Lonchura striata: one gene and its partner. The protein of the gene in region 2 interacts with the protein of the main gene of each other region in a biochemical or structural test. Links are inferred from orthologs where the notes say so. Each region holds a gene or a part of one and is shown on either strand. Other genes may lie near its edges. The genes, in order: SPEN and RBPJ.

Region 1 (7,907 bases), on a different chromosome or scaffold from region 2:
ACTCAGATTTGCTACTCATTCCACCTGAACAGTGGATCTCCAATCCTGGCACTGGCTGCATTTCTATTTCAGGGTGCCTTAACAGCTCAGTTGAAAGGAAATATAGAGCATTTGTTTTTGCAAAGGGAGTATTTGGGTAAGAAACTAAAAGACAATTTCAATGTATTGAATTGCATGGAAAAATCTCTCCTTTGCAATCCCCTTTAATATCAGAGAAACAGATTTTAAAAAGGGCTTCTAAGGAAAAAAATAGCACTGCTCATGTAAGCCAGTGCTTCTCGAGACCAGCTTCAGTATTCTCTAATTTGAGAGAAGAATCCATACTAGGGAGTGTTACTTCCATTCACCTCACTAAACTAAACAAACCAATCAGAAGCATTTGGGGAAAAATAATAAAAACATATATTTCTTCACAATTCTTAATTCATCCCTTTATAGAATTCCTTGTGAGGCTGCAAATCCCAGCAAAGTTCCCACAGTCGGTGGTTAAGTGAAGGGGGAGGAGAGGCAGCAAACCCTCCATACTCCTGCAGAGCTGTAAGTTTTAGGAGTTTTCCCTGAATTTTTGCTTGTTTGGAAACAAAAATGGTCGTTTCTCAAACTCGTGCCTAGCAGGGACCGCGCAACAACCCAGCGAAAACGGGCTTCCATCTGGGAAGGACAGCATCTCCCAAGCCCAGTGGAAAAACAAACACTCGGGTGAGCTGCACAGAGGCTCCGGGGGTGAGGCGATTCCCGGCCGCAGCCCAGTTGAGGTTTGAGGCGGTTTTCCCCCAAACCTCGCCCCGCTCCCATGGCTCAGCCTCCCCGCACACGCTTCGCCCTATTCCCAGGCTGGGGGATGGGTGGGAACCGGGCTCTGCCAAGCCCCGCTCCATCCGAAAAGACCTTCTCTCCCGACTACAGCGTCCTTTCCGAGAAGGGAGCCTTCCCCTTCCCACCTCCACGGCCGGGCAGCCGCTTTCCCTTCCCTCTGGAGAAACCCACCACGCCGTGCAAGCCCTTGTGCAGCGCCTGTCCCTTCCCCCAGGCGAGCACGGGCATACAAAGGAAGGCTCGCTCCATTGTCCACCTACAGCACCTACACACCCAGCCTCGGACCCGGCTCCCCGCTCAGCCCCTCACCCCTTTTCCAGCCACAAATATTCCAGTGGTTACATCCCACTAGCATTCGGAGGCGGCGTGCCATTCCCTCCCCCTGCTTTAGTACCTGCAGCCAAAGGGCTGAAGCGTGTTTTAACTGTTTACAGCCGTGAGATCAGCCTCATCCAAACACACAAATCCAGGGCAAAAATCACTTGGGAAAAACGGGGGGAAATGCCTGGCTACAAAGCTCCTGCCCAAACCTCTGATCGTAATTTGCCCAGGCAAAACAACCAAAAAAAGGTAATTAATTCAGCGCCTGCCATTTTTCCCATCCATCTCCAAGCAACAGCACCATGGCAACTTTTTCCCTCCTTTAATACATCTTATAAAAGGAGGAGGACTGGACAAAATAAAACCTAGGAATGTCAGATTTTCACTGTGGAGCACCTAATCCCTCAGCTAGCTACCGCTGGAATTAACCAAATAACCCTAGAGCGAGGTTTTCCCCCCAAAACCTGGCTTTGTAAACAGCACTGGGTCACAGAACCTGGACTTGAGGGACATGACAAACCACCCTGAATATACATCCACCATCCCGCGCCTTCACCAAGCGGCAAATTCTTGGCTCAGGGGGATAATAAAGGCAAAAAAAGGTGAAGCTTGATTAAAACAGGGCAATTTCAGAGCGATGAGGATGCAGAGATGGGGTTTGGCTGCTACAGCAGCTGAGGCCAGGAGGATGGAGGGGGATACGAGACCCCCAGTCCTTCCACAACAAGACGACCAGAAACCAGGGAAGAGGCGCTGGGACCTTCGCTTCTCTCTCTCGGTGTCACCGCATCTATTTTTCCCATGGTGACTCATTATTAAGGAGGCTCCGTCATTTTTCCAGCACAGGAAGATTAAAGGAAGCTTCAAAATCCATTTTTTTCTGCTGCTGGTGGGATTAAAGTGAAGCGCCTGTAGGGGCCATGAGCTGAGCAGAGCTCGTTGCTCTCTTTTTCTTCCTAAAAACCAGCTTCCAGCGTGGGGTGCATCAACTTGAGAGCATTTCCACAGGAAAAAGGTGTTGGTGAGGCGGCGGGGGAGAAGCCTCTTCCTCCTCCTCCTCGCAGGGAAAGACGGAGGGAGGAGGAAAAAAACCCAACCATGCAAACAGCTACTACTTCCTTATGAGCAGGATTAACCTATGCAATTAAAAAAAAAAAAAAAAAACAAGGAAAAAACAACCCAGCACAATATAAAGAGTCCAGAGTGCTTCCCGCGTGCAGGATCCCGTGTTTTCTCCGTGGGTTTGCGTGATATTTTTTTTTTTTCCCCAGAGTCACGTTTTTGCAGCTGCCGGCGCTTCGGTTCCCACAGCTCGCTGCACCTCGGGGGGACACGCAGCATCCTCCACGGCTCCAGGTGGGAGGGAAACGCAGTGAAATGGGCAAAAATAAACAGAAAAAAGTCCGAGCGCTGAATAATCGGGAAAAAAAAAAAAAAAAAAAAAAAAAGGAATGGAATGGAAAATAAATCGGCCAGGCTCAGCGCTGCCTCCCGACATCCTCGGTATGGGATCCGCTCCGTGACGACCGCCGAGCCCCACTCGCTGCTGCTCCGTCGTTTCGGGTCCATTTTTAGCCATTTTTGTATTTCCCCGCTCCGGCCGCGCCGCCGATCCCGCCATGGCGCGGGTTATTTACAGCGCTGTTTTCCTCCTCCTCTCCACGGGAACCGCCGTCTCCGCGCACTCCTCCCCCCCTTTCCCACGTTTTTCCCCCCGTTTTTCCCCACACCGCGGGTCGGGCCGGACGGGCCCCGCTCGCCACTCACCGCTTGAAGTGCTCGATGATCTTCTCCTCGCGCACGTTCTCCGGCAGGTTGCCCACCCAGAGGTGCCTGGTTTCCCGGACCATGCTGCGCGGCGCGGGGCGAGCCCGCCGCCCGTGCCCCGGCTCCCGGCCGCCGCCTGCCCCCGCGCCGCGCCGCCGGCCGCCGCTCGCTGCCCGCCGCCGCCTCCGCCTCGCCCTCCGCCCCTTCCGCCGCGGGGCCCGGCCGCCCTCAGCGCCACCGGCCGCCGGACCGCACCATCCCCGCCGGGGGGGCCCCCTGCCCGCCGGGCCGGCTGCCGGGCGCCGGGCTCGCTCTCCGCCGCGGCTGCGCTCCCTCGCCGGCTCCCCACGCCGCGCCGCCCGCTCGCTCGCTCCCGCTGCCTCCTCCTGCTCCTCCTCCGGCAGCGGCAGCGCGGCGCCCCCGCCGCCGCCTCCTCCTCCTTCCCCCCCCCGCGCTCCCGCTGCTCCGCCGGCCCGGCCGCGCTCGCTCGCTCGCTTCGCCCCCCCTCCCCTTCCCTTTTCCCTTCCCTTGCCCGCGCCTCGCGCAGCGCCACACGGGGGCCCCCGCGCAGGCGCACTGCGCCCCGGGGCGCGCGCCGCGGGGCTGGCGGGGGGGCGGGGCGAGAGCGCGCAACGCCCCGCGCGGGGGGGGGCGCGAGCGGGAGTGCGCGTGCGCGGAACGGGCGGGGGCGGTGGGGGTGTGGGAAACGGGGGGACGGGGGATTGGGGTGGGGGTGTGGGAAATGGGGGGATTGGGGTGGGGGTGTGGGAAACGGGGGGATGAGAGATTTGGGGTGGGGGTGTGGGAAACGGGGGGACGGGGAATTGGGGTGGGGGTGTGGGAAATGTGGGAATTGGGGTGGGGGTGTGGGAAACGGGGGGATGAGAGATTTGGGGTGGGGGTGTGGGAAACGGGGGAATTGGGGTGGGGGTGTGGGAAATGGGGGGACGGGGAATTGGGGTGGGGGTGTGGGAAATGGGGGGATTGGGGTGGGGGTGTGGGAAATGTGGGAATTGGGGTGGGGGTGTGGGAAACGGAATTGGGGTGGGGGTGTGGGAAATGGGGGGATGAGAGATTTGGGGTGGGGGTGTGGGAAACGGGGGAATTGAGTTGGGGGTGTGGGAAATGGGGGAATTGGGGTGGGGGTGTGGGAAATGGGGGGATGAGAGAATTGGGGTGGGGGTGTGGGAAATGTGGGAATTGGGGTGGGGGTGTGGGAAACGGGGGAATTGGGGTGGGGGTGTGGGAAACGGGGGAATTGAGTTGGGGGTGTGGGAAACGGAATTGGGGTGGGGGTGTGGGAAATGGGGGGATGAGAGATTTGGGGTGGGGGTGTGGGAAACGGGGGAATTGAGTTGGGGGTGTGGGAAATGGGGGAATTGGGGTGGGGGTGTGGGAAATGGGGGGATGAGAGAATTGGGGTGGGGGTGTGGGAAATGTGGGAATTGGGGTGGGGGTGTGGGAAACGGGAACAGGGAATTGGAGTGGGGGTGTGGGAAATGTGGGAATTGGGGTGGGGGTGTGGGAAACGGGATGAGAGAATTACGATTGTGACAGTGGGAGACTCAGACACACAATGGGGGGTTGTAAGACAACGGGGGGCTCCGAGAGTCCTATTGGGGGGCTGTGAGGCTCATTACAGGGCCTTTGAAAATTGTAATGGGGCTGTGAGAGATTTAAGAGGCTCTGAAAGAATTGTAATGAGGGGCTGTGAGAAATGCATGGGGGCTCTGCAAGTTGTGATGGGGCTGTGAGGAAGGGCTGGGAGACTTGCCATGCTGGGCTGGTGGAGTTGCAACAGGGAGCTGTGAGAGACAGAATGGGTCACACTGTGAGGGCAAGGTCCTGCTGGCACGGCTCAAAGGAGCTTCACCCAGCCAGGGGCCCCTGCTGACCCCCAAACCTACAGCTCTCCCAAATCTCGTAAGGATTCCAAAATCTTGGGGTACAACCTACCTTTATCCCTAGATGAGCACACGTCCAGCCATGGCCACCAGGCAGACAAGTAAAAAGTTAATTGAGGAGATGGCAGGGAAGGCCTCGTGCTGCCGTGGCTCTGCTGTCTGCAATGGCTCCAAGGCCAGAGCAGCAGGAACCGTGAGTGAGGCTGCAGGGGGATCCCCAAAACCCCTTGGCTGCTTCACATGCTCCCCTCCGCTGACACAGGGAGGATGTGTCACCCTGAGACACTCCCTCCACCAAAGCAGGGTGGCTGTGTTGTTCTGAGGCATTTCCTCCAACAGAATGCAGACCAGGCTGCTCTGAAAACCACACAGGAGAAACTCCCACTGTGGGAAGGAGTCACCTCCTGCTCCCCCATGGGAGCTGGCACATCTCCTTAATTAACGTGGGGAGAAAAAATTGCCCAGTGCCAAGATCACTCATCTCTAGTTGCCTGACATGTCACACCCCAGCTCTGCAACGTAGAACTTTAACCCACAAGATCTTTTCCATCGAAGCATGCCACTGCACTGATAAAAACCCCTATTTCTATGTCCCAGAAGGAAAATGCCCAACCAGTTTGTACTGTGAGACTCTGAGCAGTTTGAAGTCAGGAAAAAAGACACACCCACAAGTGTTGGTGTTAAAAGCCTTCACTGCTTTCACCACTGAGCAAACCCATATTTCAGTATTTTCCATGGCCAAAGTCTCCTGATGATGTTTTGGTATTGATCAAACCCATGTTTTATTTGTCAGAGCTGCTTTTTGCCACCCAGCCGGACACCGTAACCTTCTGGCAATAAGTCCACCTCACTACTGGTCAAAGTCACCGAGCTGTAGTGCCTTAACAAATATGCAAATCTCCTGATTTAATCAGATCTCTGACGCAGGTGGATTCCATCCATGGTGGCCCCGAGCCTTAGCCCCAACTCCAGTTGCTGCAAGCCCATCCTTTGGCAGCCCGGTGCCTCAGTTTCCCCAGTGATGATGGGCTCTGCCAAACTGGGATCTACTGATTAATTAAAAAGCCCAACAACTCCTTGCACGCAAACCATCTATTATTCAAAACGTGTGATGGAGCCACGTGTGCAAAGAAAATGCGCTGCCAACACGCTCCACCGGCGCTTCCAGTGTGGAACTGGGCTCAGCTTTCCATTTTTCCATTTCCTGGTGGGAAGCCCAAGGAGCAGTTTGTACATGTCTCTACCTTTAACGGGCTCTCCATTTCGGAGAGGAAAAACCAAACCAAAAATGCCAAAAAGCCAAACAACTTTTCCATGATAAATTCTCCCTCTGATGGAGTGTACTTGCTACAACTGCAATCCCAGCTCTTCTTTCTCCTGCTGGGGTGGCATCTCTGAGGGACACAAGTAAAGCACAGCAGCTCCCAGGTCCTTCCAGGGAATCTCACACGGAGTCACTGCTGTCACCCGGCCATCTCACAGGACATGCAGGGGCTGGGAGCTGTCACAAACAAAGCCATCGACTCTGTTGACAGGAGAAGGTTCAGATGAGTGCCAGGAGGGTTCCATTTACACAACAGCCAGCTGGAAGAGGAGCACAAAGCTCGGCTGGTGACGCAAAACAAAGCTCTGGACCATGGTGATACTCTTCAAATGCTTTGCAGGGAAGCTGTTCCTAGTTGCAACTGCACCAGCGATGCTGCTGTAACCAGATCCTCCAGCTCAGCCGAAGATTTTAAAGAACACAGACCCAGGCTGAAGAACAGAGCAGGTATAACACTCCCCTCAGCAGGCCAGAACGGCTGTGACAAAGGACCAGCACCATCCTTGTGTCTGCAGAACAGACACACGTTTGTGCCAGCCCAGTGTCCTGCCATGAGCACCCAGGGGCAAGATACGGCTGCACTGCCCTGTGTGCTGCCCTTCCCGGGGGCCAAACAGCTGAGCACAAGGGGACTTGAGCCGTTCTCCATGACCCGATGGCCCTCAGCCTTTGGGATACACACTGCAGGGAACAATTTAAATTACTCCTGTGGGGGTGTAACTGAGAGCCCAGCTATCTCTGGACAACTCAGCCAGCCCCACAGTTAAAACATTTGGATGTTTCTTATCAGTGCCTGGAGAGGATTAAAGTGCCAGGCTATTTATTAGTGAGGGAGCAGGTTATAAACCCATCTCAGCTTGAGCACCACGTTCATGTCAGGAAAAGCAAGGCAAGAACAGGACAGATCAAAAGAGAGCCATTAAAGGCGTGAGAAAATGAGGCTGCCATATAAGGAGCTAATAAAGTTAGCAGCTCTCCAGTTTGAAGGGAAAAAAAAGGGCAGAAAAAGTGGAAAACATCCTTGGGGTCCACACAGCAGCCTCTCCTTGAGGAGGAAAAACCAATAAATAGAAGTGGGCAGACACAATGCTTCAAAAGGCAGGTTTATCCTTTTTGAACACAGCACCTTTCCCGAGCGGTGGAGCTGCCACACATTGCTGAGACTGCTCATCAAACGTTTCAAAAAGCAAAGATTAGATACTGAACAAGGACAGCAACCAGCACTCTGTTGGCTCAGACCGTAACTTCCTACCCTCAGGTCTGGCTCAGCAACATCTCTGTGTGACGTGTTGGGAAAGGGGGATATTACACCTCTCCCTGGCTACATCAGCCAGGATTCATGGGGATCTGAGCGGGAACACGAGGGTTCTCCCCACCACCAGGGCACAGCCAGTTCCTTTGCTTTTTGTAAAAAAGCAGGATGTTTCCCAGCAAAGAGCCCCAGAAAACACTCAGTGTTCCTTTGTTTGAGCCAGCCAGCTCCAGCCACCATCTTGTCAGGATAAAATGTATTTACGTGTCTTCCTCACTCATTGATAGTATTTATGAAAAGAACACTATGACAACTGAATATCAAATTCCCAGCTAGGCTTTTATCTCCTTTTTAAACCAGCCTGAATTATTGGCCTAATTTTATATCTTACCCATTCTGCTTTATGCTCATTTTCTCCAAGAAAGAATTGGTGCCGTTTGATATTTAGACCCATTTGTTGCCAAGACAGAGGCTATCAGCTTAGGGGCTGAAAACACTTGGAGCACAGAGCTGAGTTCTGGAG
Region 2 (8,082 bases):
ACTAAGAAGATACCATTCCATACTTTATGTCACTGTAAAATTATAAAATTAGTTTCATAGCACTAGAGATTTTCTTTGACCTATGGCTTTATTAGACCTAGCAGAGCAATATTCAAGCTAATGGATGCCTACAGGTGTTTTTGCAGTATAGCAATTATTTAAAAACAAGTGGCTTGCGCTCACAATATAATAAAGAAGCATGTTCATTAATTTTGTCATCTTAAAATGCTATTTCCCTAAATTGTACACAACCAAAACCAAAAATACTTCACAAAACCCAAAAAATACTATCCTATAATCCCAGCCATAAATTATCCACTTCTTTTAAACAGTAGTTGTGAATAGTAATTCCTTTTAAGTTACTTGTCTGATGTTTCTGTTTACTTTCTCACTGTATCTGGTTCTGACACTGTGCAGTTTGGCTTGTCACACTGTACATATGCACAAGTTTCATCAGAAGGCTCCTGTGAGGCAGCAGCACGAGCGTGCCACATGCTGCCAACAACAAAGCACAAACACACTCTGACTGCCCCCCAAAAGTGCTGCAGGAAATTCCTGCTATTGCATTCCAACACCGCATAAACCTATGTACCATAACTTAAGCTTAGGCACATAGTTTTCACAAGAAAGAAAAACAAAACAACTTTTTTCATTCAAGTAACACTGACTGCAAAAGAGCTATAAGTTTGAGTGCCCATGTGATGCCTAGTCAAACACAGTACAGGATTTGCATATTACATTCTTTAGTTATTGCTTTTTAAAACACTTTTTTCCCCCCGTCCAAGTAAGTTTTTACAGAACAGCCCAGAACGAAAACTTCCTATACTATTTTGAAAAAAAAAAACAACCACCTACTGCAGAATCATCAATTTTTAATTCTAATACACACAGACAACTCAGCATCAGAACCACATTCCAAAAACAGGTAATTTAATAAAAACAATTAAAAAACAGGCTCCTTCATATAATATAACTACAACATCAACAAAAGGTAGCATATTTCATTTTACCTACACTGGAAATATTTAACAATAAGAAAACAAAATTATTTTTCCAGATAATTATTTGACTTAGGGGCTTAAACAATAAAGGTAGCATAAAATCCCAAACTACAAACAATTATTTAACTCTCATTAAAATGGCATTTTTTTCTACTGTTCTGATTATTTGATCACTGTTTTTAAAATAATCCACAGTTGTTTTGTCAACATTTTAACACACATCTGAAAAGGATAAAACTAATGTCACAAACATGACATCACTTCTGACAATCCTGTAATGATCAATAAACAAAAGGAAATGGAGTCCAAATATTCAGATGAGTAAACTAATAGAAACATAGAAAAACTTAATTACTAAGTGGAGCACAGGCTAATAGTTATAGCAAACTTTAAAAGCATTTGTTCCCTTCTTTCAAGTCTAGCCTCTAAACTAGTACAATCCAGGAATCATTTACAAACAAGATTAGCTTCCCTAAAGAACATTTAATTGGGAAATTTTGTATCAGCCACAAGACACCTTCTTCAGGAAAGAAATCAAGTAAAAGCTTCAACTTATTTTTTGACAAACAAGAGTGAGGAATTGGAAACACTACTGCAGCTAATCAAAACAACAAAATACCATAATGCTACCTTCTCCACAAGAACAAAAGCATCAACCACCAACTCCACCCCACCCCCAAGCAGGCTGTTGCTCTCTAACCACAGAGCCAATGCTGTAGACAATGTAATCCCACAGGGAAGACAGAAGGTCACAGACACTGCGAAATCTTAAAATAAGTTCGGCGTTTTAGAAAGTCCTAGAAATACTTTAACGAGACAAAATTTCATTTGGAACAGGTGGAGTACAGATACAGCCTGCTCTTCTCCTGTCTCTTCCCTCAACACATAGAGGGAGGTCACACTTGCTCAGCGTAGTGCAATATTAAGGATACAGCACTTAAAAAAAGCAGCAGCAGCAGCAATCAAGATGTGGCAAGGATGGCAACGTGCAATGTGACACTGCAGGTGTGATTGCACACTGTATACCAGCAGTGGATCTGTTATTATTCATCAGCTGTAGGTGGCTAAGAGAGTGTCACTTATTACAGTGACACATGCTGCAGCTGGCTAGCCATGATTAAGTATTACCCAGTGCGGTTGAAAGGGATGGAGACTACCATTCATTATGATCCAGCGTGGCTTAGTGGCGTAGGGAGGCTGCTACCCTTCCTTGCAGCCCAGCATTTGAAGGAAGGCAGCTAAAACTCAACAAAGCCCTGGGAATGGTGTGCAGAGAGGAGAGAAAGGGAACCTCGGTCGCCCAGCCCGACGGCACGGGTGTCCCGCTAGCAGGGGCGGAGAGCCGCCCGCGCCCGGCGCGCCCGGAGCGCTCCGCCGGCAGTGACAGCGCCGGGCCGGGCCCCGGCCGGCCCTGCCGTGCGAGGGGCGCTGGGCACCGCGCTCAACTTCCAGCCGCAGCAGCAAACGCCTTTGTCCGAGCGCTCCCCGTCCGTAGCCGGGGGAGCCTGGAGGACCCACGCCTACGGCGGGACGAGCCAGGGCGAGCGAGAAGGGAGAAGAGCCCGTGCCAGCCCCAGGTCTGCTCCCAGCTGGGCTCCGCCGCTCCCCTGGGACCCCTCAGAGCGGGACCCGCTCCGAAGCAGCCGGGATGAGCACTGACCCTGCACGGAGTCCCGACCGGCGCGTCCGTGCCGGAGAGAACGAGAGCAAAGTGAGCGCCCAGCCGCGCCGGGACTGCCGCGCCGCGGGGCGGCCGGAGAGCGCGGCCGCTGCCGGGCCGGCGCCCGGGGCGCCTCCTCCGTGCGCCCACCCGGCGGGACCCCAGCCCCACGAGGTTTGCGCCGCAGGGCCCGCCCGCGGGCCGTCCGGAGGGCAGTGCCCCGTTGCTCGAGCGGCGGCCGAGGAGCGAGCGGGAGGGCGCGGCGCGGTCTCGCCCCGGCAGCCGCGGGCGGCGGCGGCTCCGGCGGGCGCCGCGAACGCCCCGCACTCACCCTGTCACAACAGGCGCCATCTTCCACAAACTCTCGCCAAAACTCCTACTCTCGCGAGAGCGCCCCCCTCCCCACGGCCCAGAGCGCGCGTGCGCGGGCCCGCGAGACACGCGCGGGGCGGGGGGGGGGCGGTGCGCGCCGCCCACTCAGCGCCCGGGCTGCTCCCTCAGACACAACAGCCCGGGCGTGGGAACCGCGCCGCTCTCGCGAGAGTGCGCCGCCGGCCGGCAGGCGGACAGCGGCGCAGGTCTCGCGAGAGCGGAGCGCGCTCCGGGGAAACCGAGGGATTCCCTCTGCCCGCTCGCGCGTCCCGCCCCCGCCGGCGCGAGGAGGGGCGGAGGGGGAGGAGCCATTCGGGGCGGGGCGGGGGGCGGGGCCGCCGCTGGCGCGCGGGGACCGGCCCGCGGCCGCCGCCGCCTGCAGCCGCGCCCCCTGCGGGGAGAGCGCGCGGGGCCGCGCGCCTCGTGCTGCCCGCGGGCGCGGCACGTGCTGAGGGGCCCGTGGGGCGGGGCTGGGCACGGGGCGCGGGGAGCTCTTCGTCTGACGGTGAATAAAGGGCGGGGGGCTGCGGTTTGGAGCCTCAGCTCTTAGGAAGACCTCTCGGGTTCCTCGCGTGGAATTGTTAACATATTTTTTTTTTTTTTTGTAGAAGTCAGTTTTACATGAGAAACCCGGTTTCATAACTTTGTTTTCATCCCCAGCTGAAGTGCGTAAGATGCGTTTGTTTAGCAAACAGAAGCAGCGGGGTCTGGCAGGGTCCCAGCCAGCTGAGCGAGCCCCGTGGCCACAGGCGGCCGAGTGCGGGCACGGGGACACGAGCGATCTGCCGCACGGGCTGTGCTCCACGTCTGATAAAGACCACAGAAAAAGACGATCCCTATTCTGGATTCATGTAACAGCACCCTTCGGGGCGCGGGTGTGATTGTCCATTAGGAGACTAAGTTTGAAAAATAATCCTTTTACATTAAGACTTCTGTCTGTTTCAACTTCGTCTGTGTTTAGTATAACACGTCAGTCTAACTCCGGGACAAATGCTACATTGATTAAAGATTGTTGAGGTTCCAAAGCCCACATCTTTTTTACTATGTTAGCTCTACGTCTGCTGTCTTCCAAATTACGGGGAAAAATAACATTTCAGTAGTCCCACGAATAAGATTTCAGATTTCTTGCCCACATATGCGCTTCACTGCTTATGCTAATTGAATGAATAATGTCTCAGATAAATAAAAACACGTTTCAAGAGATTCCTTAGTGACAAAGTTTTCTGTACGTGTCACTGTACAAACAGCTATTGTCTCCTGTCATTAAGGGACTTTCCCCATCATGATTTCCCCCTACTCATTAGATACAAGAGGACTTTGATTGGCTCCCTTGTGCGCACAGTTCTCGGCAAAAACACAATGCATACTGGAAATCTGTATTGTTTGCAAAGAGCAACTCGTAATCCGTTTGGAAATCTTTTCCTAAAAACATCTCTCTCTCTTTTTTTTTTTTTTTTTTTTTTTTTTTTTTTTTTTTTTTTTCTTCTCCCAAGGCTAAAGAATTATCTCAGCTCATGCTAACTCCATTCCGTTAAGAATAGTTTCTGGATGTTTGCCATGGACTGTCTCTAGATGGTTATTTTGTGGGGCCCCTCTTTTAGTGTGTTTTGAATCAAACTGGAAAATCTAAAAATATAGCACACAATAATCTGCAGTGTCTGGTCTCTTTTAATAATTGACAATGAAGGCACTTTGGTTAATAATCAGATTAATTGGATACTGGAGCAGGTATATTATTTAGAAGAATTAATAATCATAGAAACCATTGTAGTCCTTTCCATCACTGACAGCAGTACATTATAAAACAAATAACCATTGATTTTGTTTTCTTAAATTATAAATTATCTACAGTTCAAAAGGCCAGGAATACTATTCCAATCAAAAACAATAGCTTGAACTTCATGTGAATAGCTGGTGGAAGAAAAGATAATAACCCTAAAGGATTTTTAAATATTGTTTATGCATTGAATTTTTTTCTTGCTGCTAAAAGTTTGTATTTCACATAGATTGTGAACAGCTTCTATTGATTTTATTGGAAACAAAAGCATCCACTACCGCAGGGAACTAGACCTCACCTTCTGGCCTGTAACAAATATAAGCACTTCCAGAGCTGAGGTAGAAAAATTTAAATACCAGGTTTGCACCATTTAAATTTTTGTGTTTGCTATGTAAATTAGTAGTTTGACTTTTTGATTTAAGCTCAGCTGAGGTTGTCAAAAGGGCTCTGAATCAGGCCTGACACTTCAGAAACCATTTGGAAAATCACAGCTTGCAGGCATATTTGAAGGATGTGACTTCCACAGGTGTTGGGCCTCACCTGTGTTCCAAGCAGATGCCCTGCCAGGTGACTCCAGCTGGGTGCTCAGAATCATTAGCCACCTTCGAAAATGGAAGGCTGTTCATGCAGGAAATCCAGTTTACTCTCACTTGTCAACTGGGGGACAGGACCGCCTTGAATTTGGATTCACCAACATGTATGTTTTGTGGACAGAACCACTTGGCCAGTGCTTAGTGGATCTCAGCAGCTTCATTTTGGGAATCCATATGGTTCCCCTGTGCACTCAGTCTTGCTTTGTGTGGAAAGACGAGGAAAGACAAGGAGCCTAGCACGAGCCTACGGAATTGTTAGGATCAGGCCATTGGTGTGGGCAGGGAGGTCTTTTGGCCTGGAGTGTTGTCCCACCAATGGTGCTGCAGGACAGGAGCTGCTGGCCAGCAGTGCTCAAGAAGCCCAGCTTTGGAGGAGAAGGGCAGTCATGAGCAGGGAGCATGAGATGCAAGCTGCGATAACCAGGCCAAAAATTTCAACAGCTTGTTTGACCGGTCCAGAACAAACTTTCTCCAGCTCAGCCTTGGCTCTGGGCTTCCCATAAGCTCATTCCTTTGGGCACAACACTAGCTAATTAATATGCTTCTCATTTGGCAACTGCTTCCCACCTCATTGGTTTGGAAAAAGATGAGAAAACAAAAGACCTGCACACTTTTTTGTAGAAGCAATTCCATGTTTCTTATGTGCTTAGCACAAGCATGTGAGACATGAGCAAGGGGACAAGAGACTCTGTCTCAGATCAGCCTGTCTTACCAAAAAATATCTCACAGTGTGTCCTCTGAAATCCCAGCTATTTTAAAATTCAGTGACCTTAAAAAGCACTGTAGGTAGTGAGAACCGCAGTTATCTGGATCTCTTCATTATAAGGAGCAGGTTTATCTTGAGACGTTGTAGTTTGTAGGTGGTGTAAATCACACATTTGAGTGGTAGGTACTGTGATACAACCCTGCTGGGATTTCATAAGCACAGGATGTACAGTGTGGTTCAATCGCGTGTCTAGGAAAGCAAATAAACAGGCAGTTGCCCACAGAGCATCTCTTAGATCTGAACTGTGGTGCATGTGCCAACAAAAGTTATCGCTTAAGCTGCTCGCCAGCCAGCTCAATGTCAGAAATGTCTGCTGTTTGAAATGGATGCTGATGTTCAACACTGTTCAGGGAATTTGCAACATTGTCTTAAGGATGACAAAGAGAAAGAATACCCTAGTTAGCAGTCTGCAGCAGGAGCATTGTTAAATAGTTTTTGCTTGTGTGTTGTAGTCTCAAAGAGGATGGTAGAACAAAGAAAAAATCTGAATCCATGTCGTAATGCGGGCTCCGGTGTAAGTATACCTTGGTGTGGCAGTCCCCAGAGGCTATAGTCAAGCTTGGGCCTCATTATGGTGTTGCCTTGAAAGCAAGTACAGTCCCTTCCCAGAGTGTTCTTTTAGAGTAAAGACAAGAAGAAAAGAGTATAGCAAACATTAGGAAGGAAGAAGGGAGGGAAGATGAGGTTAACAGTAATAGCATCATATGGTTATATAGGTTAACAGTGTGAACAGCTTGATGACTGACTTCTATAACCTCTTATTTTTAAATACTTTCTAGAACAGCATGCTAAGACACTTTGCATTGTATTAAATTTTGCTCCTCACCCTACCCCAGAATAGTATCTTATTTTCCATTGGGTGAAATGTTTTGTCAGTTTGCATGTAAATTACCCTGCATACCTCCTTAGTTTTACTGGGCTCTACAAAGAGTGCACCTCTGAACCTCTCTCACTCAGCATTCCTCCACTCATGCACGATGCCTGTCCACCAGTTAAGTGTGGCACCAGGTTATTGCCTTAGCCCTGCCTCCCATGCACAGCCCTCTGCAGTGATGGCTGGTGCCATCAGTCCTCTCATCCTCAGGGTGTCCCTGCAGGTTCCACCAGACCTCAGTGAATCATTTGGAGGCTAAAATGCCATGTGGCTGCCCACCACACACCGGGTAGTGCCAGCCCCCTGCACCCCAGCATTCACAGGCAGTGGCAGAGCAGGGTTCCCCAGGCCCCACCTTGGTGGCTGTGCTGCCCTGACCTTCTGCCATGGCTAATGTGTGCACGCACCAAAGCAGTTCTAAGATTAAAGTTCTAAGATGCAGGATTACAAAGTCATTCATTACAAGGAATACAGCAAGATAAAGTGTAAAAATATCCATGTTTTCAAAACGTACAGGAGAAGATACAGCTTCTTTTCAGTTGTCTGATCTCTGTAGGACTGACTGTGAGCTGAAGACATCTAAGGAAGTTATTTGCATCCTATTGGAATCAAGAAAACAGGGAAGATTGAACTAGTTGATTAGACTATGAATTATCACAAATAATTAAAAAAAAAGGAAGATTTAAAGATTATATTACTCAAAATGTTTTATTGATTTTATTAATATATAAATAAAAATAATTTTTGCAATGCTACAGTTCTGAATTGGTATGAATACAGATTTTTTTTTGAAGGAAAACATTTTAACTAGAGGTGCTGTTGCAGTTCTGTTGTTTTCCTGATGTGTGTCAATTCACATTTACACTCAACCCCAAGCCTGTAATTTAGTGACTGAGTTAGTCTGGTCTTTAATTCATTAGGCTCTTTGAGAAAACATATGCTGACAGACTTCACCTCTGTGTGTAAGTAAAATGCGGTCTTTGAAAACAAAGAATGAAAACTCATTTGATTCTACAAAACACAAGAGAAATACACACTC

The links.
Region 1: the proteins of RBPJ (region 2) and SPEN form a complex in vitro, tested with the Homo sapiens proteins (2 studies listed by BioGRID and IntAct). The link is inferred for Lonchura striata from reciprocal best matches to the Homo sapiens genes RBPJ and SPEN.

What each region holds. Positions count from the first base shown.
Region 1 is NC_134626.1:6,442,609-6,450,515, reverse strand, and holds the start of SPEN (msx2-interacting protein), read right to left. Parts: upstream 3,043-7,907; 5' UTR 2,988-3,042; coding exon 2,905-2,987; intron 1-2,904. UniProt on the Homo sapiens protein: May serve as a nuclear matrix platform that organizes and integrates transcriptional responses. In osteoblasts, supports transcription activation: synergizes with RUNX2 to enhance FGFR2-mediated activation of the osteocalcin FGF-responsive element (OCFRE).
Region 2 is NC_134606.1:18,656,988-18,665,069, reverse strand, and holds the start of RBPJ (recombining binding protein suppressor of hairless), read right to left. Parts: upstream 3,053-8,082; 5' UTR 3,013-3,052; coding exon 2,993-3,012; intron 1-2,992. UniProt on the Homo sapiens protein: Transcriptional regulator that plays a central role in Notch signaling, a signaling pathway involved in cell-cell communication that regulates a broad spectrum of cell-fate determinations.